Linked DNA regions of Drosophila melanogaster. The protein of the gene in region 1 interacts with the protein of each later gene in a pairwise test. Each region holds a gene or a part of one and is shown in the gene's direction. Other genes may lie near its edges. The genes, in order: Acp53Ea, CG17292 and Pex19.

Region 1 (8,800 bases):
ATAACCACGCTTACAGCGACAAGGCGGTCCGCAAAGCGGTACACAGTATTTGGAGCGGTATTCGCATGTCTCCGGACAAACGCCAGCACATCCCACATATGTGGAGTTGTGACAGCAGCCGAACTTGAAGGGCTGCTTGATATACTTCTCCTCAGGGAGCGGGTTCCGCTTGAGGGCTATTTCTTCACCTATTGGATGAACGATGTGGTATCTATGCTCCAGGCTATCAAATTCGTCAAAAACCTTTTTATGCGGGTTCTCCATGAACTCGTCATCGTCTCGCAAAGCATCGAAATGATCCAAGGTTCGAGCGGTGCGAAAAGTCATGCCATTAGTTACTGTTACCGGAAGTTCATTGGGCCAGGTCAACTCAGACTCCAAGGTTGGCTCGGCAATGTCATCCGGCCAGGTAATCTGGTCCTCTGCAGAATCTTCTGCCATCAGTACATGTTTTTGAAAGAGAATTCCAATAAGCTGTACGACAAAATAAACCTTCGGCCATGCCATCATAGGAAAATTATAATAATAAACTGAGATTAAAACTGTATCACATTAAATAAATCAGGACTGTGTCAGAATTGCTGTGAAATGGCAATTTGTTAGGGTCACCAAGCACCAATCACTATTGTTTATAAGTCATTCGCAGCTAGAGATTTGACTAGATTACTTCTTTTAGTTGCAAACATTAGTTTATTGTCTTTTTAAAACACAGAAATATTTTGAGGCTTTTACTGAAAAACGCGATGAGTTTCAACAACCAGTTGCTTTATGTCTAGAGGACAATCAGTTTTAAGGATGCATAGTTGCAGATTTTCGTTAAAGACATAGTCAGGTTTGCATACGCAATTTACACCGCAATATTTGGGACACTTGAGCGATTTGAAGGCACAGGTTTCGGGGCAAACTCCAGCACACCTCACCATGGTGGCATTCTCGCCGCAAAATCCCGAAAACGGATTCCATATGTACTTCATGCGGCCCGGATCCGGGTCCACATCATGGTTCAGGATATGATCCTCGTCGATGCCAGTTGTCATGACCGAATCCATCAGCAAGGCCGGCAGCAGCAGAAAGCAGAGGGAATTGAACCAAACCATCATGCAAAACAAAAGCAACTGAAGCTATTAGCAATCACTTCCACTTGTTTCCCAGCCTTTACTGCTTCTGCTGCCAGCTGCTTCCCTGTAATTGCCCACCATTCGATCATCGCAGTGCAAAAACTAACGATAAACACACACCATCATTCATTTTCCTAATAACTCGAGATACTCAAAAACGAAACTTCCAATACTTTATTTGTTTGTTTTCCTTTCGGTTTTCTTTTACACAATTAGAAACAACAAATTTGTAATTCGACGCAGGTAATTTTCTGTTCTATCCAAAGAACCTATAAATCTAAACCAACTCTTGAGCGAGGCGTTTGACTAACAACCTTTAATTTCCCCAATCAGATTATGTTCACCGGATCGAGCTGATGCACCCAATGGCTGGGAGGCACCTGCTCCGGCTACTCAGCCGGCTCTTCCCCTCCGTCTCTATGTGCCGGAACTGGAGGAGATTCGCGTGAGTCCTGTGGTGGCCCGCAAGGGTCTGTTGAATGTCCTGGAGCACGGCGGTTCCGGCTGGAAGAAGCGCTGGGTGGTATGTATTTAACCCTGTATGTTTTAAAGTGCATTCTAACCTTGAGTTTTGGTTAAATAGATCGTCCGTCGCCCGTACGTGTTTATCTACCGCTCGGAGAAGGATCCCGTTGAACGGGCTGTCCTCAATCTGGCGACTGCGCATGTGGAGTGCAGCGAGGACCAGGCGGCCATGGTCAAGATACCCAACACATTCAGGTCGGTTTGATTTCCACTTAAGAAGTAGACATGCATTGCTAAATAATACATCGATTTTTCTTCAGTGTGGTGACCAAGCATCGTGGCTATCTGCTGCAAACTCTCGGTGACAAGGAAGTACACGACTGGCTGTATGCTATCAATCCATTGCTTGCTGGGCAGATAAAGTAAGTAAAGAACTGAATATACAGCATTTTCTAAATAATAATTATATCATATTTTCAATAGATCCCGCCTGGCGCGACGGACTTTGGAGCCTGCTAGCCAGACGGCTTCCCAGATCCAGGCCACCAATGCGGCGAATGCCAATAGTGCGAGCAAATGAGATACGATTACGATGGAGTCCGTTTTGGTTTACTGAGACGCAGGCTATGGCTGGCTGCAGCGCCTGAGTATCGCCAGACGACTGGTCAGGCGGAGATCACAACAAATGGCAGGGACAGCAGCTGGCAACTGATTGATATAGCTTGAAGGATTCCATCGGAAGAGGGAAATGAAATAGATGATTGTTGCTGTGAAAGCACATCTTAATCGAATGCAAAAATCAGAGATAATGAGCAGAAAGAAACCAAATGCAAAGCGTACGTAATTATTAAGTAGTTCAACAACAACCTATACAACAATGGATTATATTACATTTCGTGATTAGTTGGCCACGGCCCAAAGAGTAGGCACTAGCAGCTCCAATCAGATACGATAGCCTACTTTTTAGAATCCCCTTCGATTAGTTTTATTGGACAATTTTGTAAATAGCCTTCGTTTGATTCGATTGTATAAATATTTGGTATTAGTTAACGGACCATTTAGTTTCAGTTCCCACGTGATATTATGTTGATCAGTTAGACTATGTATTTTTTCTCAAGTATGCGACAAATATGTAAAGCTTGTAATGCAAACAAACACACACGTATATGCATTTTAATGGAGCAAACTAAAGCAAAATACAGACATATATATAAATGAGGAACTATATGTAATGAATTAATGTATAAAACCCTATATATTTGCTGTTTATACACAAATTTTCATGTACTTGTATTGTTTAACTTAAAAAGAGCAGGTAAACGCCAGAGAAAATTATGATACCAAAAATATGTGTGTGTGTGTTAAAGAAAGACCGTACAGTATATAGGATATAGGAGACGTGAGGTATAAGCTCAGCAGAATTGCGAAATCTCTATAAAGGTAACGATTATTGTTAGATCTATATATATATACAAGCAAAACAGAACTATATGCGAATGAAACTATTTTACACACCAGAGTTACGAACCATGAAATCGGCGCTGCTATAACTCAGCTGCCCCACATTGTCAACTGTTGACGGCTTTTAAGGCTTCTCCCCCCACAGACTCCCCACAAAAATACCAAACAGTTTCGCTTCTAAAATGCTCCCTCTCGGAACCACCTGCTAAAGCTTCAAGCAACACGTTACGGAACAAACCAATTGTAGTTTTGATAAGAGTCTTAAACTAGTACGCAATGGCCACCTGTATATTTCCCAACTGAAAATGAAACCGACATTTTGCTTTGCTTGCGAAAAGAACTTTGAATTTAATTTGCGTTTCGCCATCGGTTGATGCACGAGCTTAGGTCAGGTTAATGGATCAATTGGAGCTTCACTTGTGCCCGGATCACAAGCCTCGAAGCTCCCAAAGTTGTTGAAGGGATCGCTTTCGTTTGTGTCGCAAAAATGGACACGGAACGTTAAGCGATCGTTGCTGGATCGAGGAATACGTATTCTTTTAGAAATCGTTTCGGAACTGAGTCGGCGTTTTGGGTTTTGAGTTAATTGTAGCAAAATGTAAACATTTGTTAAACTATTGAATTAATTTCCAATTGTAACATATTAGAGAATTGTAATTACAATAATCATTTTACAAGCATATTATATGATATCTATGTATGTAATAACCTATTTTGGCCCAGTTTGAATTTACCAACAAAAGAATTGCACACACCAAAAATATAGAGCTATATATTAGCGAAGCGAGTTAACGAGCAAGAAACTCAACTTATATATGCGTATATGGTACAATACATTTCAAAATCGATTTAAATATGTACATCGGCTATATATCAATGTATGTAAGAGATGATTGCCTGGCAACCGTTTCCAATGACAGATGAAAATTAGAAGAGCAGAACCAACGCGTGGAAAATGAGGGAAAACCTATGCTATGTGTATGTATAATCCAAAACAAATTGATATTTGCCAGGGCGTATCACTATTAAAGAAATATAAAATAAAACGGCTTTAAATAAAATCTGTAAACTATCGGGTTGCTTTATATTGATTAGGCTATACGAAGAAAGGTAAGGTAAGATAGAGCTGATTACTGAAAATGTGGCTTATATTGACTCGATATCTATGATTTGTGAAGCGGACTGAAACATTAATTTGATATTTTACAGCATTTTTATGTCGCAAATGAGCGTAGTTAAACCATTTACATTCTGCAACTCAGAAACACTATAAGTGGCGTTTAGTTTACGTCTGGAACCTCTGTGTTCACTGAAGTCTTTCGGCCATGAAGTCCAAACAAGTCTTTTACATCGCCTTCAGCTTGCTTGTGAGTTTTAATATTTGCTCAAAACTTTTTACTGACTACGATTTTTAAATTGTAAAGCTGCTGGGATCCTTGCTGCCAAACGAAGTGGAGTCCTTAAGAGTAGATCTTAATAAGCTGGCGGAGTGCACAGAATCGGGATTGAAAGTAGCCACAACGTTGCTCGTGAGGGCGATACCATGTGTAAAAAAATTGGCAAAATGTGCTGACTTTCGAGCCATTAAGACTAAGGACCTTGATATTACCGCACTTGCCCTCTTGGGCTATCAATATCTGCAAACGGTCGTGAACAACCAAAGATGTCTATTGATCTCATTGAAAGAAGGCTACGACGCTGTGTCGCCACACCTTGACAAACTTATTAGTGGCAAGTGCCTACCAGGGCTCAGCTAAAGCAATATATACATATGCAAACACTTTATTTGGTTTTTAAATTCTTAATTTAGCCTTAGATATAGACATATTTTCAGTATTTAAATGAGTTGCTTGAATCACAGGAATACAATGAATTTGGCGAGATTATATGATTATATTCGGCAATAAAATCTAGATAATTATAGTTGTTATTAAAAGGACAGCGAAATAGAAAGCACAAGCTTAAAAATTCTTTTTGCGGGTCTGGAATTAATTACGAATTCAATTTGAATTCAGTTTCAACTATATGCCTTCTTTTTGTAACCTTTTGTATAATGTTATTATATAAAATGTTAATGAACATGCGAAAACGATTAACAATAGCAACAAAATCCATAAACTGCTCACACACTTTGAAGTGTAAAATCTGTTTTTAAAGCTTCTAATAGACCGTGCTGATTCGATTATCCTGGGGCCTATAAATAGGGCATAAAACACAGGGGCTCCGAAAGTTTGATCTTCAGCCGTTTAGTCGAAAGCACACAGATAAGGCTTCCAATGAAACTGATAAAGGTTACACTAGTGTTCAGCTTACTGGCTGTAAGTACATTATTTAAATATGATCTTTTTAGGCACAATAACAATAGATAAACTTCACTTAACAGCTCGTATTTGTGGCCCAAACGGAGGCGCAAAATCCAATATGGGAGAATTGGTTGGCATGCAATAGAATTGGTACTAAAGCGCTTGCCAGTCTGCTGAGAGAAACAATCCCAACTGTTCGCAATTTACTGAACTGCATTGACTTCAATCCACCAACCGATATTGGAAATAGTTACCTTTCAAAACTTAAGTTGTACTATGAGCTTGTTAAGCGAGGTGCGCTTGACAAGACTCAGTGTCTGATTGTGCCACTCAAGGAATCAGTGAGACTACTGAGGCCTTATGTAAAATCGCTTGAGACCAACAAATGCTTGGGTGAATAAATCACTATTTTGGCCATAATAAAATAAATTTCTGAGCATTAATAAAGCACAGCAATCAAAAATGTATATTTTTTAAAGGAGGGTAATGCCTAATAGACCTTCCAAATTAATCATGATATAAGTTAAGTGCGGTTTTTTTCTCAAATTTTTTATTTATATTATGATATTACCGAAACCCAAAAACACATTTTGGTTTGGATTCAATCGGCTGAAATACTTTATATGCGAGACAAATTATTCTGTTGTATTGCATTTGAAAATTGAATTGACATGTATTAGGCGCAAAATTTATTATGGTTTTTAACTGTAACCAATTTTTTTAGCACTGCTTAGGTGGATGAAATTAAAATTAGCTTGTAATCCTATAAATAGGACAGCCCTTTCATAAATATTCTAAGTTTTTTCTGGTCATAATCGCGACTTAAAACAGGAGAATGAGCGTGATCAAGTCCATATTTCTGCTCAGTATTTTGGCTGTGAGTACATTTGGCTCACTTAATTACTTTTTAAATATACTTACCATTCTCCATAGGTCTGCCTCATTCCCCGGGAGACGGAGGCCCAGGCCACTATAAGTGAAAGCTGGGGAAGGCTGGGCAAGTGTACTCAGGTGGCCATCGAAACACTGACCAGCCTGGCCGATAAAATCGTCCCGACCGTATATGAGTTGAAACAATGCTCCGGATACGTAACTTTGGAACCGGCAAACGGCAAAGACAGAAAGATTACCTGGTACCTAAAGGTATCCTATGAATTCTTCAAGAAACTTGTCTTTGACGAACCCAAATGTCTGCACGGTCTACTGAACAAGTTGGCTGCCACAATCAAACCATTTGCCGAGCAGATATCGGGATTAGGTTGCTTGGACGAAGAAGATTATATCATTTAAAAAGAAAAGTGTGCACATTACATAAATAAATCGAGAGCAATATGGGGTCTCAAATGTCAGCAACAAAAATGTATTTCTTATTAAGTATAATTTTACAATATAACTACTGCATTTGGAAGTTAAGTTGAAGTTAAAGTTGGCTAAACACATTCAAGTTATGTGATTAAATTTTATTTTATATGATTAATTCAACAGAAGCTTGATAATAATGGAGAAGTCGCGGCCACGGTCTGGAAATTAGTAAGATTAGATTCGGATTACAATCATATTTTCGGTATAACAATTGAAAGGCGGTACATTGGGTATCAGTGATGCTCGACAGCATTACTAAAGCGATTATCCTGAGGCCTATATATATAGGGCAATATTTCCACATGGCCCACAAAGTTGGATCAAAAGTTGCTGGAATAAGAACCCCAATGCATTTGATTAAGATCGCCTTGTTACTAAGCTTTTTGGCTGTAAGTACGTCGACCTTTAACGGGATTATTTCTTAACCATTTCGCCATTTAGTTATGCCAAAAGTCGCAAGTTCAAGCCGCCATAAGTTCGGAACTCGATCACTATCTGCGATGTTTGGAAGTGGTGACTGATGCCGGTGCCCTAATGATCGAGAACTCTATAACGGCCATAAGCCTCCTATCCGATTGCGTTGATTTTCAGCCGAAAATCAAACTAACTGGTAGCATTCTCAGATTTATTAGGGTGGCCCATCAGTTTGGCAAGAAGGCGATATACGATCGACCGGAATGTCTCGTACAAACCTTTACCACCGGAGTCGGACTGATTAGACCGATTATAGCCAAGTTTGATAGCTTGAGGTGCTTTGATGAGTAAGACAACCTACCTAGTTTGAATAAATATTCAGAATATACCGAAAGTTTGCCTGGCCAAGCAAACGGATCAGAACCATCTTAATTGTTTTATTCTCATTCTTTTAAAATTCAAATTCAACATATCACAGAACTTCCATTTGAAATTACAACCATTGTTATTTAAAAGTAATGTTTATTAACTCTACATATCAACTGGTGGTTACACGTTTTTTTATATACAAAATTCGATTTATCTTCTGGTCGTCGGCCAGGATCAGTATTAGCGTAAAAATAACTAAAATATAAATTATGTAGAACAAAAAAAATGTATAATTGTTTAAATGTCTAGTACTTACGCAGACGGAGAAAAAGCTTCATTGCTATTGAGTTAAAGGTGCATTTCAGTTAGCCGATTTATATAGCACAGTCGACATGGAATCGTGACTGCTTCATTTTTAGATAAAGACCAGAAACAATTATATGTCTGAAATGTTGCACTGGCAACGTGACTAGGTTCAAGATAGCTACGAAAACAAGAGCTCCACTTGGCCAGGTAATCCTCCACTTGCCAGCAGCACCTGCTAAGTAATTACCTCAATTCCATGGTCGAAATCCTTTTCATTGTGGCTATGAAATTCCATGACAACCAAAGCTGGCCAAGCTCAGTGATGCAAATCCCACGCAGTATGCCAGTAGTGCATAAGCTCCGACAAGCTGCTAAGTGCTTTCGGAGTAAGAGGATGAGGAGAATATGGAGTATACTAACTTTTGAAGGACGCACATCCATACCAGAATATCTGCTGTAATTAGGCAAGTTGTCGCTACTGTTTGCCTTTTGCCATTTGGCCGCTGCTCCCCCGGCAATAGCATTTTATGGGCTTTTGTTGGCGGGTTTCTCTTCCAACAACATTTTCTACCATTTTCAAAATGAATAATTCAATAGTCCGGTAGAAGCCTCTGGTTCGCGGTTCTCCCTACTTGCCAACCTCGGACCAACTCGGTTGCAGCCATAATTGAGGTCAGTGAAATCAAATAGTTCCGACCAAGTGCTTAGCACTTGCCCAGCGGTGTGTGGAGGAACTGGACTTGGAGCTGCTTGGCTGCTCCCTGGGCTCTCGCGTCGGCTGCACTTTCAGTGGCCAAAAGCGGCCATGGGATCTTCCTTGTCGTTTGGCCGGTCGCTTTGGTTTCCGTCAGCCAAAATCACTGCCACTAAAAATAGACAACAATTAAATGCAAATCAATTGAATTGATTTTCCCGTAATACACAGTAGGTAATACTTGCGAGCAACAGAGATTCTTTACTACAAAACAAATAACAATTTCAACTTGATATATTTGGTCAGAA
Region 2 (11,611 bases), on another chromosome or scaffold:
TGTCGGAGGACGAACTGAAACACGCCTGTGCGGCCTTAAATTGGACTGAGGAACTGGACGGTGACCGGGTAATCCTGAAGCCCAAGGTTCAGGAAGCACCGCCAGCTCGTGGAAACGATGACCAGTTGCTTAAGTTGACCGAGTTTGTAACCTTCCTAGAGAATTAAGCCTCAATAAATTTCAATACATTTAATTGGATTTTTGTATACATTTGAAGAAAAGTTATGGTCACACAGCCTGTGTCAATCTAAAAAACACTCGATTAATATCGTTATTAGACATATTTATAAATATTAGCTAAATCACCGAATTGGCGCCATTGGGTTTTGTACGAATTAGCTTTTGGAAGTATACCTAAAAATTAGGAACTAGAAACTAAGGCTACAGAATTATAATTTTCCATGTAATCTATGTAGATATATAATCATATTCTTGGCCTAATTTAATAAGTGTGATTTTAATATTCTTCAGAATTCAGTTAAATAAAATATATTTCAGAAAATCTATCGACGCGCGGAAACGCCGATAGTATCGAATGATAACCGATATGCGTTCCACCTCTACCGTTGTGTCACTTGAAGAAAAAAAATATTAATTTGCACCAACGACGTACGTTTTTCGTTCGAAAAGAACAGCAATCAGCGGATAATTGTATGGATTCTTAGAAAATTTGCAGCGACGAAATATAGTACCTTGCGAAATTATTTTGTAACCTTGAAGAAGTAAACTGCGAATCGCCAGAGGGCCAAATAGAAATCTCGTCGTTTGCCTGCAGAATAGAAGACCCGATTTTCAGTGCGCTTGTGTTTGTGTGTGAGCAGCAGAAACAGCAGAAAAAATGGCAGCAAGCGACAAATCGGTCGACGATTCACTATATCCCATTGCGGTTCTAATCGATGAACTGAAAAACGAGGACGTTCAGGTTTGTCATGTCCTAAAACCTGAAATCCAATTGTATCTCGCGAAGAATGTGCAGAAATATTCTAGTGATTAAATTTTGGGGTAGCGTGCCCACACTCCCTGCTTTATCTGCGATTGTATTTGTGCAAAAATGCGTCACGGTGTGTGTGTGCGTGTGTGCATGGGCATTTGTGTTGGTGCGAGTGTGTGCATCGAAATTATACCGAATTTCGATATACACAAGATTAGCGTTTTGCGAAAAAAATTACTATTATCAATTAATTGCAATTATGGGTATACGTCTTTATCCGCTTTTTATTTGTAGATTTTGTTATCCTTCATTTATGTATGTATAAGTATAAGTTTTTACGCATTTGCTATTTGCAAAAACAATTTACAACTGCGCGTGTTAAAAATAGATCAACTTCAATCAATAGTAATACCATAACTGATTTTAAAATGAGATAGTAAGATGAAATATTTTCGTTACATCGAATAATCTAATCACTTATCTTATCTAAAAAAGATATCTTAAGTAAATATATATGCTACGTTTTTTTTTGAAAATAAAATGTAGGGTACAGGTTGACCACCGCTTTTGTAAAAAAAAACCAATAGCCCTATCAATAATAACCTCAAAATCGTAGAATTAGTTACCACTTATCCTAAATTTGAATACCCTATTAAAATAATCATCTTTAATATTTTCCCTTACCAAAACAGCTTCGGTTGAACTCCATCAAGAAACTGTCCACCATTGCACTCGCTTTGGGCGAGGAGCGCACACGGTCCGAGTTGATTCCCTTCCTCACCGAGACCATATACGATGAGGACGAGGTACTGCTGGCCCTGGCCGACCAACTGGGCAACTTTACTAGTGAGCAAAGATATAATTTCTAATGAAAACATTTCCAACCATGTTCCGCCGTTACTTTCCAGGTCTCGTTGGTGGGCCAGAGTTTGCCATGTACTTGATTCCGCCCCTCGAGAGTTTGGCCACCGTAGAGGAAACCGTGGTGCGAGACAAGGCTGTGGAATCTCTACGCACCGTGGCCGCTGAGCACAGCGCCCAGGATTTGGAGATCCATGTGGTGCCGACACTGCAGCGATTGGTTTCCGGTGACTGGTTCACCTCACGCACCTCTGCCTGCGGCCTCTTCTCGGTCTGCTATCCACGCGTCACACAGCCAGTGAAGGCCGAGCTGCGCGCCAACTTCCGAAAGCTCTGCCAGGATGAGACACCCATGGTGCGCCGTGCAGCGGCCAACAAGCTGGGCGAGTTTGCCAAGGTCGTTGAGACGGAGTATCTGAAGTCCGATTTGATTCCCAACTTTGTCCAGCTGGCACAGGATGATCAGGTAAGCACCTGATTAAGACCAATTTAACAACACTCCAAAATATCAATCCTTATCCTTAATTTCCAGGACTCTGTCCGTCTGCTGGCTGTAGAGGCATGCGTAAGCATTGCCCAGCTGCTGCCTCAGGATGATGTAGAGCACGTAAGTTGATCAGCGCTGAAATTGTTAATACCTGTTGGCTTACAAAAAATATTCCATAGCTGGTTCTGCCCACGCTGCGCCAGTGCGCCAGCGACTCTTCCTGGAGGGTGCGTTACATGGTGGCCGAGAAGTTTGTTGATCTGCAAAAGGCTGTGGGCCCAGAGATTACTAGGGTGGACTTGGTGCCTGCCTTCCAGTACTTGCTCAAGGATGCCGAGGCCGAGGTTCGCGCTGCAGTGGCCACCAAGGTGAAGGACTTCTGCGCCAATCTGGACAAGGTCAACCAGGTGCAAATCATCCTTAGTTCCATTTTGCCCTATGTCCGCGATCTTGTCTCGGACCCCAATCCTCATGTGAAGTCAGCTCTGGCCTCAGTGATCATGGGCTTGAGTCCCATGCTGGGCGCCTATCAGACTGTGGAGCAATTGCTCCCCCTGTTCCTTATTCAACTCAAGGATGAGTGCCCAGAAGTGCGCCTAAACATCATCTCAAACCTGGATTGCGTTAACGACGTCATCGGTATCCAGCAACTGTCACAGTCGCTTCTGCCCGCCATCGTCGAGCTGGCCGAGGACTCCAAGTGGCGTGTGCGTCTAGCCATCATCGAGTACATGCCTGCTCTGGCCGGTCAGTTGGGTCAGGAATTCTTTGACCAAAAACTGCGCGGTCTCTGCATGGGATGGCTCAACGATCACGTGTACGCCATTCGTGAGGCAGCCACCCTCAACATGAAGAAGCTCGTCGAGCAGTTCGGAGCTCCCTGGGCCGAACAGGCCATAATTCCAATGATTCTGGTTATGTCGCGCAACAAGAACTATTTGCACAGTAAGTTATCGAATTGAAATTGTAATGATCAATATATGCTTATGGTTCTTATGATTTTTAGGAATGACTTGCTTGTTCTGCCTGAATGTTTTGGCAGAGGTCTGCGGCACAGATATCACCACCAAGTTGCTGCTGCCCACAGTTCTCCTGCTTGCCGCTGATCCCGTTGCCAATGTTCGTTTCAACGTGGCAAAGACCCTGCAGAAGATCTCGCCCTTCCTGGAGGCCAGCGTCATTGATGCCCAAGTAAAGCCCACACTCGACAAACTGAACACAGACACAGATGTGGATGTCAAGCATTTTGCTGCACAGGCCATTGCCGGCATAGCTGCAGGTAAGCAATAAACAGTCTAATATAAACAAGGTTAGCGTTTGACAGGGATAGAAAGGGTCTAACTTATAGAACAATATATAACATTATTCATTATCACAAGTTTTAAGGCATGCAGGGAATCTGAGAGTTACACAAATTCATAAATTGTCAGTTAGTAGTAAGACTTTAATTTTAATTAAAATCCTGCCATAGAAATGGAACTGAATGTGTTTAGAACGGCAATACCGCCGTGCATGGGCGCCAAAATTGAGGCGGCAATGGACTCAAAGCTGATAGTGGAACCGCCCCGACAGCCGGAGGCAGCTGACAATGACATTTTGCAGGAGATGAATGGCAAGGCAGCGGAGCCGCCCACGCTTGACTCGGAATGTTAGAGGATGAGTAGCCAACCACATGACGTGTGATGTGCCTCCCGCTGTCTCCAGCCAGTTCCACAAGCCAATGTGTTTAATCCTCCCCGTCATAATCGTATTCACATTTGATTGTTTGTTTGTTCAAGATAACCAGGCTAGATGTCCGATCTGATTAAAGTGCGAGTGCAGTGGATCAAATATTTAACCGATACTAATGTTGTGCCATATTTTTTTGTCTCTTTCCCGGTATCATCGCCATCACCACGTGGTTATCTCACCATTCCCCACTCTGTGTTCGTCTGCAATAATGTGTTTTGTATATTTGTTTATAGCGTAATCAACCTTCTTGCATCTTTTTTTATTCTATTTTTAAAACTGTATGTATTTAACGCCGGCAACAAAACATATTATGTAGCAACAACACTTAAGAACGGAAAATTGTAGTGGATCCCGGAAGGTGTTAAACGCTGCAGCCGATGCTGGATGAGGGATGAATGGAGCCAGGAGTCAGAGGAAGGAGAGAATCGGAGAATCAGCATGGGAGGAGACCCACTAAACGCGACACACAACTAAACATTACTACTTACATACTTATATTATATATAAATTACCATAGGCATAACGATCATTATTAAAAACATTTGTAGAGTTTGGAACATTTGATCGCATCTGAATGCAAAAATAAAATTGTAGTGAAACAATATCACACGATCTATTGAAAAGTTTAATGTGGAGCAAAATTGAATATTTAACTCCCAAAATTGTATACCAATTTCTAGGTTTCAGTTGTCAGTTCAAAGTTTGGAAATGTAATATTTTCCTTTTTATAGTTTCGTTCAAATTAAGCTTTATATACATTCTGATTATTTGGCAGGTGCATTGATTATTTATAATTTGTGAGAGGTATGGCTATGAAAAGCATAGATTATACAAACAAAATACTTGTATTTTTACATTTTAAAAATACTGTTAATTTATTTTGAAATCCTAAAATCATTCCAGCAGTAAACGATTTTGATAGCAAGCTAGACTGATATCGATAGGCGCCAAACAGACACCTGGCGATAGTTGGGGCTTCTTTTTGGTTTTTTAATTGGATGATGGTGGTGGTGGTGGTGGTGGTGGCGAGCAGTTTCTAGCGAGAGATCAGTTGGACTTTTGCGACGAAGCGATACGCTTGTTTGTTTTGCCGTTCCGCTGCGCGTTGGCCAATGTTTGCCTAACTCTCGAATCGAATTCCGAAACCGAGTGTGGACGCGTAAGTGCCATTGAATTATTCCGTCTGACGCTCGAGCGCCATCGAATCGGATGCGGCGTGGAATGTGGTGGAGTCAATGGGGGGATCAGATGCAAATTTGATTGGGCAAATGGGTGGAACCAATCAATTGTGTGTATACAATAAAACGAGGTGTTTGTGTGTGCCCAACCAAACACAGCCAAATGCGGAACATTATCAGTTTACCCACGGCTGTCGCAATCTCCGCGTCCGTTTACCGTCCACTGACCTACGATCCACCTGCCCCCGTGGACGCAACAAGTGTCCGAATATTTATAGTCTATGGGCTCTATGCATTAATTACTCGCATATGTCAAAAACGCTGAGCTGTTATTACAATTAGTGCTTCATTATTTAGCCCGATTTCCCCAAGTGGCGCGTTTCGCTAAGCGTTATTATTTTTACCTTCCGCTAAACACTTGGCGCCGATTCGATTCCCTCCTTACCCTCGAAACCAGTGATACTCCATCGTGCGACTGAGCATTATCTGACGGCTAATTTTCCCCCGATAAGCCGGAATATAAATTGAAGTGCTCTTTATTTATGTCCGCGATACAACGGCGAAATCGAGGCAAAAAAAGAAGGCCGGTACTTAAATTACCATTGCGTTGGGCAGGCAACGAGGGTCAGGGGTCTTCCATTTCGACATATATCTATGTACACATTTATAAGCATTTCTACAGTCCAACTTCCCTCAGTTAGATATGTTATGATTAGGAGGTTGACAAGAATAATAGTTGCAATATTAATTTATTAGTTTATACAAGAAAGTTTTGAGATTTCATAATCTCATTGAAGTATTTATATATTTTATTTTAAAAAGTATTTGTATTTGCTTGTGTTCTGCATTGTACTTTGTACTTTAACAATGTATGCTTAAACTGAAACACCACTTTCTAATTTAATTCAGTCCGAAAACAAATATATTCCAAGCTAAACTTTAACTTTTGTTCCCACTTAGGGACGTTGGACTGTAGCTTACAAGTGTGTTTGAATGGCATTGCTGTAATTTCAAGTCTGCATATTTAAGCACTGTAGTTTGTTCACTTAGACCTCGGGTTAAGGTAATCTCTGGCAATAGACAGTGGGCCCTGTAGCTGGTTGAACTGTCAAACATTTCACTTTTTTTATGATAGCCATATTACTAAGGTCAAAGTTACAGGGTCCGCCCATAAAAAGACTATTACTTTTTAAAAGTTAATTTTAGTGATAATAAAATGCACTTAAATAGCTAGTAAAACTGTACTTAAATAAACATGCTGTATTAGTCTATATATAATTAAACCCATCATATTAATGGATCAATAATAGTTACGGCGATCTTTAAGTTTGTAACTTTCAACGGGAAAACTTTGTAATTATTCAGCTCACTCCTGTTGAGGAAACTCATTATGTTGCAATTTTAATTGATCGTGGTGATTTGGAAATAAGTAGACTGGCTGGCGACAAAGCTTTTATTTTTATGGCATTCATTCAATCACCATTGAATTAGTCCTCAAGTGCATAATGGGATTAGCGTTCGATTAAACTTGTTCAGCCGATAGAAGTGGATGAATAATAATGCGGAGATTTGGAATGTTCCGAAATCGGATGTTCCACCGTAGGAGCACATGAATGATGCATGGACAGGCAAAGGCTTGGACTCCCACACGGACTTTGCCGCCGTTGGGGCGGCACACTCGTGTGAATCACGATGCTTACGATGTCGCAAGGCTTTTTTTGGCCGAACTCACCATTACTATCTTATCCGAAAAAGATTGAAATTTAATTAGAGTTATCAATTTCAATGGGGGTTTAGGCCACGCCACATTAATCCGGCCAACCGAGTGCCCGGCCCAGTCTTTGCCAATCACCGCATGGGACCAGAGGATATCCGGACAATCCACTGGCCACGTAATCAATCACTTTATGGACTAATAGCCGACAGCCCACAGAAACATGCACAAGGCCATTAAAAACAAATCCAGTAAGTAAGTGTGCGAAAATGGAAAATTCCGCTAATACAATTTGGATAATTATTAAACCAGGGCTCCTCTGCGGACTCAAGAACTCCAAGGCGGATCTAACGACAGCCAAGTTTATACTATATTATGGGTAAGAACTAATATTATTATTAGTAAATATGAAGAAAAATTATACATAAAGCCATGTTATTGCACTAATATCCAAATTTCTTAAATATATTCAAGTATTCACCTATAGCATTATCTTTTATTCACAGACCCACGGTGGCAGATAGCGATATCTATGACCTAACCGATTTCCAGAGTCTTCTGGAGGACGAGCACTTGGATTTGGGCAAGAACACCGTGCTCTATTTGCACGGCTACTTGGAAGATCCGGATGTGGAGAGCATTCACGTCATAGCCGAGGCCTATCTGGAGCGAAAGGATACCAATCTTATCGTCCTAGACTGGGGTGAACTGGCCGATGGCAATTACATGTTCGATGCCTTCCCGAACCTCAAACAGCTGGGCCCAGAGTTGGCCAAGGTCCTGCTCAAAATGTTCGACCATGGCCTGGACATTGAGAAGTTCCACATTGTCGGACACTCGATGGGCGGCCAGCTGGCCGGACTCCTCGGCCGAGAGATTACTAAACGCACCAAGGGTGTCAGAAAGATAAAAAGGTAAAATGAAAGAGGTTTGATTTCAAATTATTTATTCATGCTCGGTTCGATTTTAGTCTATGCCGACGTCATGATATACGATGTTTAATATACGATATTTAGTTAATAATTTTAATGTCCAAAGCTTAACACTTTTGTATTACCATATGGTAATACAAAAAGTTTTTTTTTAGAATCGTTGTTCGGCAAAGTTTATAAAGTTTATATTGAATCCTTTTCTTGTCTCACTTATCTCCAATCTTCTTTTATAGAATTTCCGCTTTGGATCCCGCATTTCCGCTCTTCTATCCGGGCACGCACCTGTCTGCCAATGATGCGGAGTTCGTCGACGTGATACACACGGACGCCTGGCTGTACGGAGCTCCGACGAGCACGGGCACGGCGGATTTCTGGCCAAATGGTGGATACAGCCTGCAGCCTGGCTGTCCCAAGCGAAACTACAAGATGCTCAGCGACAACGATCTGTCCAGTCATCGGAGGAGCTGGTGGTTCTGGGCCGAGAGCGTTTCGGATCGATATCCCATTGGATTCGATGCTGTGCCCGCCAAGAAATGGTCGGACTTCAAGCAGAACAAAATAGTAGAGAATTGCCCGCCCGTGGTGATGGGTCATCATTGTCCCACGACGTAAGTTTCTACTTGCCTTATATGCATAGCGCAGAATTTAGTTTCATCATTTGAAATTGTGATTTTCAGAATTCATGGCGACTTTTACTTACAAACCAACGGACATACACCTTTTGCTCGAGGCAAGGAGGGCACTGTCTACGTTGACCCCAAGGATCTGCTGGGAAATACCCACAGCATCACCTGTGACTGCCCGTCGGAGAAAACGAATTAATAAGACCATCTACAATTGCACTGTGTACATTATGAAATGTAGCTATATTAATATTGTTGTTTCTATGACGCCTTACACCACATTTTGATTTACGAGAAAAATATACTTAAATTTTGTTGTTGAAAAAAACTTTGCATTACTTTGGGGTATTTATACATTATTATTGCACTATTTGGGGTTTTAAATGAGTTTTATTAATTACTTTTTTTGAATGGATTTTTTGAACTTTCAAATAATTTAAATCTGGTTGCTGGTTCCGCTCTTGCAATTCATTCCGGAACCAGTTCGAAAGTTGCGATATCGATAACACAGCTATCGACCCGTCAACCTCTGCCACCGATAACATTGTTTGCAACAATTGAGCATATTGACAACAAAACGAAATTCGACAGGCTAAAATGAAGATAAAACTAATAGATTCGGTGGTGCGCAGTTTTAAGGTGGCCAAGATCTTCCGAGAGAACACGGACAAGATCAACGCCATCGATTTTGCGCCCAACGGCGAACATCTAATATCCTGCAGCGAGGATGACCAGATCGTGATCTACGACTGCGAAAAGGGGACGCAGTCGCGCACGGTGAACTCGAAGAAGTATGGAGTGGATTTAATCCACTTTACGCACGCCAACAACACGGCCATCCATAGCTCCACCAAGGTGGACGACACCATACGCTATCTCAGCCTGCACGACAACAAATATCTGCGCTACTTCCCCGGCCACACCAAGAAGGTTATCTCGCTGTGCATTTCGCCGGTGGAGGACACCTTTCTCTCCGGCTCGCTGGACAAGACGCTGCGCCTGTGGGACTTGCGCTCGCCCAACTGCCAGGGACTGATGCATCTCTCTGGACGACCCATTGCTGCCTACGATCCCGAGGGCTTGATCTTCGCCGCTGGCGTTAACTCGGAAAGCATTAAATTGTACGACCTTCGCTCTTTCGACAAAGGCCCCTTCGTCACATTTAAACTTAATCAGGAGAAGGAATGCGACTGGACTGGCCTTAAGTTCTCCCGTGACGGCAAAACAATTCTGATCAGCACGAATGGATCGGTCATCCGGCTCGTAGATGCCTTCCACGGCACTCCGCTACAAACGTTCACGGGCTATCCAAACAACAAGGGCATTCCCATCGAGGCAAGCTTCAGCCCAGACTCGCAGTTCATCTTTTCAGGCAGCACCGATGGACGAGTGCACATCTGGAATGCCGACACTGGCAATAAGGTGTCCGTACTGAATGGTGACCATCCGGGACCGGTGCAATGCGTTCAGTTCAATCCAAAATACATGATGCTGGCGTCCGCGTGCACCAACATGGCTTTTTGGCTGCCCACATCCGAGGAGGGCTTGTAGGCAATGATTCCCGCTTGCTTAGCTTATAAGATTACAATTTAATTTATAAATAATAAATCAACATAACATAAACAGAGGCCTCTAACTGGATTCCTGGGGCTGGTCCTTGTGGCGGTCGTATCCTCTACGTATGCTGTTCAGGAGTTGTCCAAGATTATGACCCATTTTGGCACTAATGCCGAGCACGGGATTTTGCAGGCGACGTTGCAGTTCCTCAAAGTTGTTTTGGCCCTCTTCCACGTCCAGCTTATTGGCCACCACCAATTGCGGGCGACTCGCCAGACGTCCGCCAAACTGGCGGAGTTCGTGCATTAGCTGCTCATAGTGCGTCCATGGCTCCGGTGCACTGGCATCTAACACGAACAGCAACAAGGTGCAACGCTCGGCGTGCTTTAGGAACTGTATGCCCAAGCCCTTATTGCGATGAGCATCGGGCACGAGTCCGGGAAGATCGGCAATGGTGAGCTGGACATGATCATCGTACTGGACGGTTCCCAAGTGCGGACGCAGCGTGGTGAAGGCGTAGGGAGCAACCTTTGGCTTGGCCCGTGTCAGTGCATTCAGTAGGGTGCTTTTGCCAGCATTGGGGTAACCAATCAAACCCACATCCGCCATGCTGCGCAGTTCCAGAGTGTATGATAGATCTTCACCCCTAGGACCGTATTCGCTGACCTTGGGACTTGTTTCCTTGTCCGTGGTAAAGAAACGGTTGCCCTTGCCACCGGCTCCTCCTCGAGCGGCCACAAACATAAGATCCGCTTGTCCCAGATCCCCGACAATTTGACCTTGCGCATTCCTGATCACCGTCCCGATTGGAACCTTGATCACAGAATGCTTGGCGTTCTTGCCATGACAATCCTTGGAGCTGCCCGGCTCTCCTTCTTCAGCTTTCAGAACACTCCCCACGTGGTTAAAGTTGCGCACATCGTTAGAGGCCTGGAACACCACATGCCCGCCGTGGCCACCGTCTCCGCCATCTGGACCGGCCCTTTCATTGCACCATAGCTGCAGGAAGGACACGCAACCGTCGCCACCCTTTCCGCCGATGGCACGTATCCTCTTGGCATCGGAGAAGTACTGCGCCTGGAAATGTGGACACAAAAGTGTGGCATTAGTTATGTAAATTCCATTGCAATCTTATGATTCTACCTCTTTCCGGGTGGACTTCGCCTTCTTCGGACGCAGCGCTGATGCCACCTGACAGTAGTTGGCTATGAGACCAATTGGTTTTGCATTTCTGGATATATTCAATGAAAATCGCGCAAGAAACGATTTGCCGGTAGAGAATAACATTGCTGAAGTCTTGTGACCATGGGCATAGTCAGAAAAATATGTAATAGGGATTGATATATCTTAATCAAGTGAAATTAAATTAAATGATCTAAAGGTTCGAGAAATGTATTATATAAATATATTAAGATGTATTTTTAGGGCGGCTAGAATTTTTTACTTTTAAAAAAGTATTCGAATCCCCGTCTACACCTGTGGAAAATCACCTGCTGATACATAAACATATCGCGACGACTATCGAAAGCTATCGAACCAGCTGGAAATTATGTTTTTGTTATCCAGAGGAACGAGAAGCTTTCAACAGTTGAGAAAG
Region 3 (11,587 bases), on another chromosome or scaffold:
CAGGGAAACATATTCAGTTGAATACAAAATCAGCGACTATTGATCAGTTTATGTTTCCAACTTTCCAATTTAACATTTAACAAAGTGACTTCATCCATATCCTTACCATGACCGCATCCACATCCTTGTCATGCTTTTGCCACCATTATGCTCCGCTGCCTCCGGCTTATAACCATAGTTTCGACCCTTTTCTATGGGCCGTCGTGGGTTTGATTAATTGTAGAATTTCACGCAACAGAGACCCTCGAAAAGAAGTTAAACAAAACCGATGGAAAAGAAAAGAAAGCGCCGAGTGGGATAACAACAAAAACCTGAAAGCCGCGAACAATAGAGAGCGCCAAGTGTTGCAAGAATTAATGATGGACCCCAACCTCCGTTTGAAACGCCAGCGAGGAAATTGACCCACAGAGATGTGACGAATGTGCATGCTCCTCGGCAGGATCCGTATCCAAGTGCCGGAGTGCAAGATCCAGATGAGATGCAGATCAAGGACAACGGAGGCCGCAAGGCAACAAAGGTTGGGTTTCTACTGCTCGGTGCGGCTGCCCGTTGGGCGTTTGGTTAAGCAAACCCAACGGGAGGAGTTCGCAGTACCAGGCACCCAGTATGGAATCGCTACATTTGCGCCTGGCAGGATAGCAAAAATCCCCGATGACCTTGAGCCCATGGCCACGATGGCAGACTAGCAAGTATTCTGTGATAATTAAATTATCCTCAAACATATGTAACTCGAATCAAATGGAGAGGCGCCTCAATCCACCATCGATACCCACCATTCGATTTGATCCTCGTTGATTTCACAATTTGGCAGGACAATGAGCGCTGAATAGGCAACTCATATAACGCTAATTTCGCGCTATCAACGCTTGGAAAAAGGCGATTCTGCTATGGGATCGTCACTTTGGGTAGAGAAAGGTCCTGAATCCTGGCCGAAATGCAGGAAGCAGTAGGAGGCATCGGTGCCATAAACGCTGCAAGTCAGCTTCGCTCGCATTTCCACGAATCGGCCAGCGGGAAAATGAAGACACATCCGTGCAATGAATAAGGATGCTAAGAGACTTTTTATGATGCCACCCAGGGTGCTATGAATGAAAATCCACCTCGCGATCCTCAACTTTCGCCAGCGAATGCTTCGTTTACCTGCGACCCTACTACACATCTCCAAGACTCGAATCTCATCCGATTTGGAGGAACTGCCTCGAGAGGCTCGTGCGCTCAATCGATGCACACAAATAGCTATATAATCGATGAAAACAATGCACACATTGTGCGATTTATACGATCAAATTCATTGGCAGTTTTCAATTCTCAAGCATTTTGGAATCTCTAGCTGTTGCTTTTATACTACGCGTTTCAATTCAAAATTCAACGCAAAATCTTTTAAGAAAATATTTATATGTGCTGAAAAGGAAAGCCTATTTAACTTCATTAAATTAAATAATTTTAAACATAGATTTTTGTTAATATTTATATTTTTTTACAAGTTTCTTTAATGTGGTTTTTAGTTTTTGCTGTGTTCATTTGACCTTTCCATAAATTTAAAAACCCAGACGAAAGTTGCGCAACACCTTTCATGCAGTTTGTTTTATTGCCAGGCTATAAACTTTAGTATAGCATGCCATTGCAGTGCAATAAAGTGTAGTTATAGGAACCCATCGTAAAATAAATATTTGAATCAGATATAACTTATATAACCATGCGCATTCATTCATTGCACATATTTGATGGAACTGTATTTTATATATATAACAAGTATATAGTTATCATAGTAATAGGTATGGTTTAGTCCACAGAATCCCAGGGTACTTTTCCTACCTATACTCTACAAGTTTCCGCTGCTGTTTGTGTTTGGCAATCGATTCGCTTTGGCCGGACGTAATGTGGTCTGTTGTCACACATTGGAACGGCCTTGATTGTTTCACGTTCCCCGGGTCCTAATGTCTTTATCAGGCCCTTTGGCATGGTGATTCCTTACTTTTTTTTTCTTTGGATGCTGTGGTGTGCATCGAATTTCCATGTCCACAGCCCACAGAAGGCTCTGACCGACGAACGCACTACGGGATGCTTAGATAATGGACTATTTAGAGCCATGATTTCCAGAAATTAGGGAATTCTGGAAGGCATATCGTAATACACCGTGGCAAGCAACATCTTTAGACATCGTATATTATACTTAGTTAGCAAATCTAAGTACTTAGATTCTAAAGAAATAGCACTATTTATTTAGCTACAGGCCTACTAAAGATATTTTAAGGAAAAGCAAACATTTCAACTTTTCTAATAATCCTTGTTTTTGGTTTAATGTAGTATTATATACAATTTAATTGATTTTCAATACCTTCATTTAGCTATGTTTCTAGCTGAAATCTTAAGCCCCCTGTTGATCCTGCGCTTCTGCGCTGATCCTCAAATATTTCCACTCGCTCGACAGACTGGCAGGCGGCGATTGACTTTTTCCTAATCCGCAGTAAGTTTTAGTAAATATGAGTCGCATTCTATCCCGTGGTCCATTCCATCCTATCCCATCTGAGCTGAATCTCCCAGAGCGAGTCCTTTCGCAGGAGTCCTGTGACCGGAGCGATCGTAAATCGCAATCCCCGCTAAAGCATGCAAACAAATAGCGGCAAAGTGCGAGATTAGAGGGAAAGTCGCAGCAGCTTAGATCCTGGATCCTGGCCAGCCTGTGTCCTGGATCCCGTCGATCGCCAGTTGACTTTTTCAAATATTTTGGAAAAGTTCTCGAGTGTTGATCGCCCGATTATAGCGGATAATCGCATTACAGCCCGACGTTTTATTGATCAACAATTGTAAACGATTTGCCATGGCCCATGGCAATCTGGGTGGGTCAGGACGAGTCGGGCCAACTCGGAGTCCATGTCCAGGTAGTTATCGAAAAAATGCTGCGGCTTAACGCAGCCCACGCCCACTCTACGACAAAAAGTGGGCGGAAAGCTGAGGGCCTTTCCCGATCTCCGGGCGATTAACCCTTGCTCTTGGTAGCAGTTTAGCCGGGCTAATTGAAGGCATTAGTTGTTTGTGGGTCGCGAGCTGGCTTCCCCGGAACTCCATTGTCCTTAAATTAGCATCTCTCATAGCATATATACCTTCGATCGCAATTGGTGGAAACTTCGCGCCTCTGCCCACAAACGTTTGGTTTTGGCACTCCAACCACATGACATTCGTCATGCACTCAGCGAAAATACTTAGCAAATGTTGTTCATGCAAAGAAATATTCATATTCTGTATAATTATTGCTTAAGAATATATATTTTTCAGTACCTAAATGTATAAGAATGAAGAAGCTATAAATTAAATAATAAATAGTTAGTTAGTTGAAAGGGATTATCTTCCTGTGTATTGGGACGTCACAGAGTCTGGCTGAATTTTCGCCGATCATGTAGGAAGTGTCCCAGGGGCAAAAAGGGGAGCCCCTGCCACATACACCCACTTTCGAGAAACTCATTAGCCTGGGGCACAACAAACCCGGCAACTCGGGGCACAAACAAACCAATCCCGAGCCCAATCGACTGCTAAACGCTGTCGGCACACATCTGAGAGACGGCGACGGAGGCCAACAAATTGATCATTAAACAGAAGGCGCAAATGTAGGCGCAACCCATCGTTGTCCAACAGAAGATCGTAGCATCGGAGCATCAGGTCGAGATCAAACACCTGGGCCCTCGACCTGGCGAAGAAAGTGACGAGGCTGCGACGTCAACAAGATTAATTTGTTTTCCGGCCGGGTTCCATCTCCATCCAGAGTCACAGAGCCACATCCACATCCATATTTCCCAACTCAGCCGGCAACCTGTTGTCCAGTTCCCCGATTTGTAATTGCCCTGCTTTGTGGTAGTCGATCAGGTTCGATCGCGGATCGATCATATACTCTACTATAATGGACAAACTCGATGGATGGCGAAAGAACATCATTAGTTTTCTCGGCGTAGAGTCCACAAAGTAGGTGGCGTTTTTCTCACATCCCGAGTGTTTCTATGGAATCTCGATTTGGAGATGTTGGATCTTCTCTTCGGCGGCGTTTGTCCATTAGCCACGGTTTGCATCGGATATATGCGAATTTAAATAAAATCATTCAATTGTTTCATTAATCACTGGCTACGGTCGGCGTTTTCTATTAAAAAAAATGCATTGCCAATGGAAAAATTGACTGCAGAGACCGTGATTATTTATACATTAGTGGGAAAGAATCTTCAGTTTTATGCGAAGAGCTTAAAAAGTTTCTCATGATGTCCTACTTAGAAGTGGTTTTATGTTTTAGCAATCTATAATTTCTATGAAACTTAATTGGGAGTAATTCCTAACCACTGTAATAAAAACTATTTGACCTGAGGAAGCCAAAAGCAGCTCTTGAGCCACCAAATCGATTGGGAAACATAAAACATATATGTGCTGCAGTTCACGATAAAAAAAAAGCAGGGCATGGCGAATTGGGAGGCTGCAACCGAAACGCACACTTAATTTCCGCTTAATCAAACAGAACAGCGACTGGGGGGGCACAGACAGAGCAACCCACATCATCTGGAGTCGGCTACCCTTCGACCCAATCCTCTAGAGGAAAACGTATGGCAGACGCAAGGGCTCATTTGCATGGCCACTTTGATGGAGAGCGATGGGTGTCGGAGCATGAAGAGCTCGCCCCATTGCGCAATGGTTGATGGTGGATGTTGTATGTTGGATGGTGGATGTGGGTGTCTTGTCTTTCGGGAAGCTGCCAGCAGTTGACTTCTCCAGTTCTTCTTTTCGGGGCAGGATTTCAAAGGAAAAGTGAGCGTTTTCCAGGAATGACTGGGAGCCTTGTAATCGCAATTACCATGGCCAAAATATCAAAAGATAATGCCATCCTGGCCAGACACAAAAATATGTCGAAACATATATAAATATCTTATATTTTGTGATACTTGAATGATTAATACAAGGTGTACTAAAGCTACAAGTTATTTTGAATGTAATGTAACATTCAGATTTCTAGAATCAGAGTTTAATTTAATTAGTATAATTTTTTTATTTTAAAGAACTTTTATTCCTTTTATATTACATATATATTACATATATTTAGTGTCTTAATTTATTTACTCCTTTATATATACTTATTATTTACACTTTATTACCATAGCCACACGACACCAGCCACAATATAAATAATGTGTCTATAAAGTCGCAATCATCGTCATTACCGAACAATCGCGAAATCCATTATATCCTGTTCAGTGCATCGTAAAATCGAGCATCTTTCGCTGGAAGGATGCGGAAATGTTGAAAAAAATAGCGATGCGATCAGCGAGCGTGAAATCGCAGTCAGCATATGAAAAGGATGTACAGGATCGTATCCTGGCAAAGTTCCTGCAAAAAGGAAGGGAAGTGTAGATGCTTGTGAAGACGCTGATGGGCATTTTATGACGGTTGGAATCCTTCCTCTTCTGGGGAAATAGAGCTGGAGATTCAGGTAAATTCAGCTAGTCTAGCAAACCGATTATATCGGAATAAACAACTTTATGACGCGCCTGTTGGTGCCTTAAAAATTATGTCAAAAAAGAGCGAGTTTCTTGGTTTATTGGGATCGGGTGTGAGTGTGACCCAAAAACCATTGTTTTGGCCAACGAAGGGGTTTTTACGTTTTCGACTTTTGTTTTGACTTTTTGACGGTTGTCTTGACTTTTTGAACTGAACTGCTTGGGTTCTAAGAAATTTGAAGTTGAACTATATACTCTGATGTTCGCAGCGAATAGAGAATGAAATTTTTCCCTAAAAAGAGAGTTATGGTTTTTAGGGAAATTTTTGATGTTATATGTATGCATATTCTGTAAATGGATTACAGCCCATAAAAAGTCAAATTACCCTGTTTCTGTAGGAAATGTAAGAGTTTCAGGCGGTTTGTTCCACCCTAAGCCGCAAAATAAAACACCAAATTATGCATTATTTCAGTCGAAGCTCCGCCCATGCTGACATTTTCAGAGAACCGACTGACCGAAGAAAACTCCGCCCCAATAGTGGAAATAGAGGAAAAAACACAAATTTACCACAATACTTCGCTGCGTGGGCGTACCGAATCGAAGATTCGTTTTGCTCTTCTGGTAAACCGTGCGGTTAAAGTCGCAAAGAGCACAGCCCATCCCAGCCCAGCCATTTGACCATATGAGCGGAATTGAGGAAACCAAGCGGGGTTCCTCCGCAGCGGTGACCTTCGGGCGGGAGTGGACCTAGAGCTGGACGCCCTACTGCAAAATCCATGTGTCCCGTCCATGGGTGTGACGTTCTGGTTTCGGAATTGGTCGCGCATCAGCGTCGCGCCGTGACCTTGATGGTTTTGCGACCCCTCCCTCACCACTCAGTATGTGCGGTTTGGGCTCTGGTCGCAGTTTGGTCGCCGATCTCCGTCCGCGCACAGCGAGGTGCCATTCCCGGGGAGATTGGCTGAGAGTTTCGCAGAAGATGCGTAAATATTTTGGGTGATTATTTTAGATAATCTTCGACTAATGTCCTTGGTTTGTCTCTCAAGACAGGAGGGATATTGAGGTGCTTCGAATTTAAGTTTATTAGTCTGATGTAGGCCTAGATTTAAATATGTACACTATTATATTGTAGATGGGTGTACTGATGACTTGTTGTTGTAAGACATATAATTTTCTAAATCAAAACTCGAAATTTTCATTGACAATAAATATATGTTATATGAATTAAATGGCTAGACATTTTCACACTTATGTGTAGTCCACAATAATAATGCATTCCAGATTATTTCGAAATAGGTATTCTGAACTTGTTTTGAACTTTATATAATAGTAACAAATAAGAATTCTTAATTTAAGGAATATATTTACTAAAAATTAAACAAAATATAGCTATTTTTCTTAAAAAAAACATTAAATGCATTTAAAAGTTGTTTAAGTAATATGAATTTTGTCTAAGCCCTAACCGAAACTGAAATCTTAAAATTAAAACCAACAATTATATAGAAAAGTTAATTTTTAAATTTTTTTCTTATCATTTCGCATCCTTTTAAAAAGCCGTTACGAATGCGGTCGCACTAAGATGTGAGTCAGTGTAGCCACACCTGTTCAGCTGACTGCGGTATGCACCAGCAGCAGATGAACGGTCCCACTGATTGATTCAGTCAGTCTTTATTTTTTACCATTTCCCACCCACCACGAAATCAAGGAAAAGCATCCCGAAATTGCACAATGTCCGAAGAAAAGAAGAATGGCGATGAATTAAACGACTTGCTGGACAGTGAGTACAGCCCGGAAATGCCTTTGGCGATCCCTTCTCGACCCCTTACATAATGCGCACTGCGTCGTCCACTTTTCGCACAGGTGCTCTCCAGGATTTCGATAAAAGTGGTGCCGGTGACCAAAAGGAGCCGTCCGCATCATCGGATGTGGCGACCAACGCTGGACCTGAGGGCTCCGAGGATCCAGATGCGTTTTTCATGTGAGTCAATGCGCCAGTGCAACGCGGCACTTGAACTTTGTATTCTGACCTGTTATCCGCCTTCAGTGAGCAGGCCAAGGTGCTGGCCGATCGCATGAACACGCTCTTCGGAGGTCCGGACACGCCCAGTGGCGATATTCCGCCGCTGCCCCAGGATCCCGACCAGATCATGGCCGGTTTCAAAAAGATGGCCGAAGCGGCAGCGCTCACCTTGAGCGGCGAAAATTCGGCCACCGACGAGGATGTCTCCAAGTATTCTGATAGCATTTCCCAGGCTCTCAAGGGTCTGCAAGAGGGCTCCGAGAACCTGGCTGCTCCCGCCTCGGAGAACGACATAGCCAGCATGTTTGGTTCACTGAATCTTGAAGGGGTATGCATCCTGAAAATGAAATATGAATTCTCCTTGCTCAATCATTAAACAATCCCCGTTTGACAGGCTGGCGAGGGTGATGGAAACATGTTCCTACCATTCATGGAGGGCATGATGCAGAGCCTGCTCTCGGCGGAGATTCTGTTGCCCAGCATCCGGGAGCTGCTGGAGAAGTACCCCAAGTACCTCGAGGAGAACGACGCCAAGCTCTCCGCTGAGGACAAGGAAAGGTATGCTCGAAATCAACTCGCAATAAGATACTTTTATTGAGAAACCAATACATACAGGTACCAGAAGCAGATGGAGCTGTACAAGGTGATTGAGGGGCATTTACAGAGCGAGAAGACCGAGGATTCGGCCGCCGTGAAGCGAGAGAAGTTCCGCGTCGTGCTGGACGACATGCGCAAACTGCAAGACTACGGCCAGCCGCCGCCAGAGATTCTGGCCGAGACGGGCGGCGACTTGCCCTTCGGCGATCCCACTGCCGGCGTAGCAGCCGGCGGTCCCGGTCCCCAGTGCCCAACCATGTAGTGGCTGACGGAGCACGATAGTCTCGTGGTGTGCCAATTGGTTAACTGTTGAGTGTTGCACATTTTTTAGGCTAAGGCAAATTTGTATTTTATTTTATCACCGACAAAACAATACGGCGGTCGCTAATGGTTATCACCTCTCTCTTCAATCAAGCTATTATTTTCGTATTAACTGTTGGTTTATTAAGTAGTTCTATACCTAAATACAATGCCTCGAAATACACCTAGAGGAAGAAGCGACGTCGCGACTCCATGGCGTGCCGTTTGTTGCTGATTATCCAGGCATAGTCACCGGTCTTGCTGTCGAATGTGCCCTCCTGCAGGGAACGTAGTTTCAGGGTGAACCGCGGCCCCAGTTCGCGCAGCTTTACGCGTTTTCCCTCTTTGGTGAACTCGTAGCGGTGGTGACGGAAGAATATGTAATCTCGCTGATTGTGGAACGTCACCGCTCGGCGGCCGCGGAACTCGGGATCGTGATGGAAGAGGGCACCCAGCATGCGGCCCACGGTCAGACCCAAACGTGTGGTAAAATTGTTCAGGATCACTTCGGGCCTGTGCTTGGTTATCTCCTTGTGATCGCGCTTTATGTCCGAGGTGAGCTTCACGTTGGACAGCTTGAAGTGGGCAGTGGGACCATTGGGCAGATGAATGACCAGCAGCCCATTGGGCTTTCTGCGATCTTCGTTAACGATCACGACGTCTGTGAACTCCTCGCGCTCGGCGCTTTTGCATATCTTCTTCACCGACGACTTGTTGCGAATCTTAACCAGGGCGTTGGGGAATATGCGCGAAAGCTCCAGTCCAAACTTACGCGTCTTGGTCACCGGATTGTCAGCAAAAGTGATCAGCACCTTTGGCTCGTACGAACGTTCGAAGTACGAGCTGAAATCGTCCAGTTGGAGTTCCTTTTGCAACTCCTCGTTGTCGGAATCGTTCAGATTGGCCACCTCTGTTTGGTCCTTCTCTCGCAGGCTCTCTATGGTGTGACCAGGATTGGCGGGTACACCAGCCTTCCGTCGGGCACGGCGCTCCTGCATTTTTTTCTTGTGCTTCTCCTTCTTCATTTTTTTGTACAACGCCAAACGCTGCTCCTTGTTGCGCATCCAGCTGAGGGGATTCAAAACAGGAATTCGTGTCTTCTTGTCGTCGTCGTCGTCATCATCCTCTTCTTCGTCGTCGTCGTCATTCTCCTCCTCATCGTCGTCATCATCCTCTTCCTTTAAATCCTCACTGGCTTCCCCTTGTTTGGCCGTTTTTTTGCTGCTGGAGGCGGCTTCTTCATCGCTGCTATCAGTGACTGGCCCCTCCTGGACTTCCAAATCCTGTGGCTCCTCCTCGTCAAAGCTGGAATCGCTGTCCGAGTCCTGTTCCACGGGCGGAGGGGCTGTTTTTCGCTTAATTTTTATCATTATTCCGAGAGAATCACGAATTCACAAAAATGCGAGCGGCACGTGTTGATATTCTTCTTCTTATACCAATCACACGGAAACGCAGACAATCTGCTGTGTGGGGCAGTGTTGGAAAACGTGCCACTCACAACGTGTAGTTTGTAAACAAAAATATATTTAATTAAAATGGTATTTCGGGTCTTAGAACTATTTAGTGGCATTGGCGGCATGCATTATGCCTTTAATTGTGAGTTCGTCGATCATGATACATGCGAAACTAATATATACTTTTGAAGATGCCCAATTGGATGGACAAATAGTTGCCGCCTTGGATGTCAACACCGTGGCCAATGCGGTTTATGCGCACAATTACGGCAGTAATTTGGTGAAAACTAGGAATATTCAAAGCCTGAGTGTAAAGGAAGTCACAAAGCTTCAGGCCAACATGCTGCTGATGTCCCCGCCATGTCAGCCCCACACTCGCCAGGGATTGCAAAGGGACACGGAAGACAAGCGATCGGATGCACTTACTCATCTGTGTGGACTGATCCCAGAGTGCCAGGAACTGGAGTACATACTCATGGAAAACGTCAAGGGTTTCGAGAGCTCACAGGCGCGAAATCAGTTTATTGAATCGCTGGAGCGGTCGGGATTCCATTGGCGGGAGTTTATTCTAACGCCAACGCAATTCAATGTGCCAAATACTCGATATCGCTACTATTGCATCGCCCGCAAGGGTGCAGACTTTCCATTTGCCGGTGGAAAGATCTGGGAAGAAATGCCGGGTGCTATAGCCCAGAATCAGGGTCTTTCACAAATTGCCGAGATTGTGGAGGAAAATGTATCACCCGATTTCCTGGTGCCCGACGATGTCTTGACCAAAAGAGTGCTGGTCATGGACATAATACATCCTGCTCAAAGTAGATCCATGTGCTTTACAAAGGGCTACACCCATTACACCGAGGGCACGGGCTCTGCATACACACCGCTTTCGGAGGACGAATCCCACCGCATCTTCGAGTTGGTCAAGGAAATTGACACAAGTAATCAGGATGCATCGAAGTCGGAGAAGATTTTGCAGCAACGCTTGGACCTGTTGCACCAGGTGAGACTGCGCTATTTCACGCCACGGGAAGTTGCTCGTCTAATGAGTTTTCCGGAGAATTTTGAATTTCCGCCAGAAACAACGAATCGACAAAAGTATCGACTGCTGGGAAATAGTATTAATGTAAAGGTTGTCGGTGAACTTATTAAATTGCTGACGATAAAATAAAACAAAATACAACATATTTGCTTGCTTATTTTCACTTTAATACATTTATTAGCTAGGAAATTACTCTGCGCTGTTATCATTAAAATATTTATTTCAAATCCACATAATTTTCCCGCCCAGTGTTGCCTATGCCACAAAACGCAACGGTTGTGTGCTGTGTGATATTCCATACTACTTGTCAATTGGTCACACTGCACTGAATTAAAAAAAAAAAGAATATAAGTTTACGCAGAAAAACAATAATAATTGCAATTATCGCTAATTGAAAGAGTGCCAAAATGATACCAAAAAAGACGACGGTTAAGGATTCACACATTGTGAAAATAGCCGTGGAGCGAGAGGACCATATAGCGCAGTTGATAAATCTGGATCAAAGGCATCCGCTGGCAAGTGAGTAAATAGCGGATAAAAACAAAGATTTTTCGCTTGCTGAGCAGCAGTTTTAAAGAGAATCTGCTTTAAACATGTAAAACAAAGTTCCAAGAAGTTAATAAACCAGAATTATGTTGAAAGTAGCAAAGGAACCCATCATAAGGGAGGAACTTCCAACCAACGCCCTTCGCTATGTTTAAGTGTTATC

The links.
Region 2: the proteins of Acp53Ea (region 1) and CG17292 interact in a two-hybrid assay, tested with the Drosophila melanogaster proteins (one large-scale study listed by BioGRID).
Region 3: the proteins of Acp53Ea (region 1) and Pex19 interact in a two-hybrid assay, tested with the Drosophila melanogaster proteins (one large-scale study listed by BioGRID).

Annotation. Positions count from the first base shown.
Region 1 is NT_033778.4:16,746,804-16,755,603, reverse strand, and holds Acp53Ea (accessory gland protein 53Ea), read left to right. Parts: upstream 1-5,268; 5' UTR 5,269-5,320; coding exon 5,321-5,362; intron 5,363-5,427; coding exon 5,428-5,748; 3' UTR 5,749-5,801; downstream 5,802-8,800. Other genes in the region: CG5267 (uncharacterized protein), read right to left, coding at 1-510; CG34189 (uncharacterized protein), read right to left, coding at 729-1,097; unc-104 (uncoordinated-104), read left to right, coding at 1,335-1,361, 1,452-1,641, 1,702-1,838, 1,904-2,005, 2,067-2,163; Acp53C14c (accessory gland protein 53C14c), read left to right, coding at 4,370-4,411, 4,469-4,801; Acp53C14b (accessory gland protein 53C14b), read left to right, coding at 6,183-6,224, 6,281-6,637; Acp53C14a (accessory gland protein 53C14a), read left to right, coding at 7,057-7,098, 7,151-7,474. UniProt on the Drosophila melanogaster protein: Responsible for physiological and behavioral changes in mated female flies.
Region 2 is NT_033779.5:8,365,473-8,377,083, forward strand, and holds CG17292 (uncharacterized protein), read left to right. Parts: upstream 1-4,981; 5' UTR 4,982-5,169; exon of another isoform or gene 5,170-5,775; intron 5,776-6,985; 5' UTR 6,986-7,125; coding exon 7,126-7,153; intron 7,154-7,214; coding exon 7,215-7,281; intron 7,282-7,408; coding exon 7,409-7,816; intron 7,817-8,067; coding exon 8,068-8,442; intron 8,443-8,511; coding exon 8,512-8,656; 3' UTR 8,657-8,778; downstream 8,779-11,611. Other genes in the region: CSN8 (COP9 signalosome subunit 8), read left to right, coding at 1-167; Pp2A-29B (protein phosphatase 2A at 29B), read left to right, coding at 839-922, 1,624-1,777, 1,840-2,258, 2,325-2,399, 2,459-3,224, 3,286-3,558, 3,751-3,927, 4,244-4,248; Wdr82 (WD repeat domain 82), read left to right, coding at 9,055-10,008; CG13390 (uncharacterized protein), read right to left, coding at 10,090-11,091, 11,158-11,301.
Region 3 is NT_033779.5:12,086,666-12,098,252, forward strand, and holds Pex19 (peroxin 19), read left to right. Parts: upstream 1-5,156; 5' UTR 5,157-5,461; exon of another isoform or gene 5,462-5,693; intron 5,694-7,022; 5' UTR 7,023-7,196; coding exon 7,197-7,245; intron 7,246-7,328; coding exon 7,329-7,446; intron 7,447-7,512; coding exon 7,513-7,816; intron 7,817-7,882; coding exon 7,883-8,046; intron 8,047-8,103; coding exon 8,104-8,347; 3' UTR 8,348-8,570; downstream 8,571-11,587. Other genes in the region: CG6712 (uncharacterized protein), read right to left, coding at 8,571-9,755; Mt2 (methyltransferase 2), read left to right, coding at 9,921-9,981, 10,031-11,007; Ced-12, read left to right, coding at 11,286-11,397.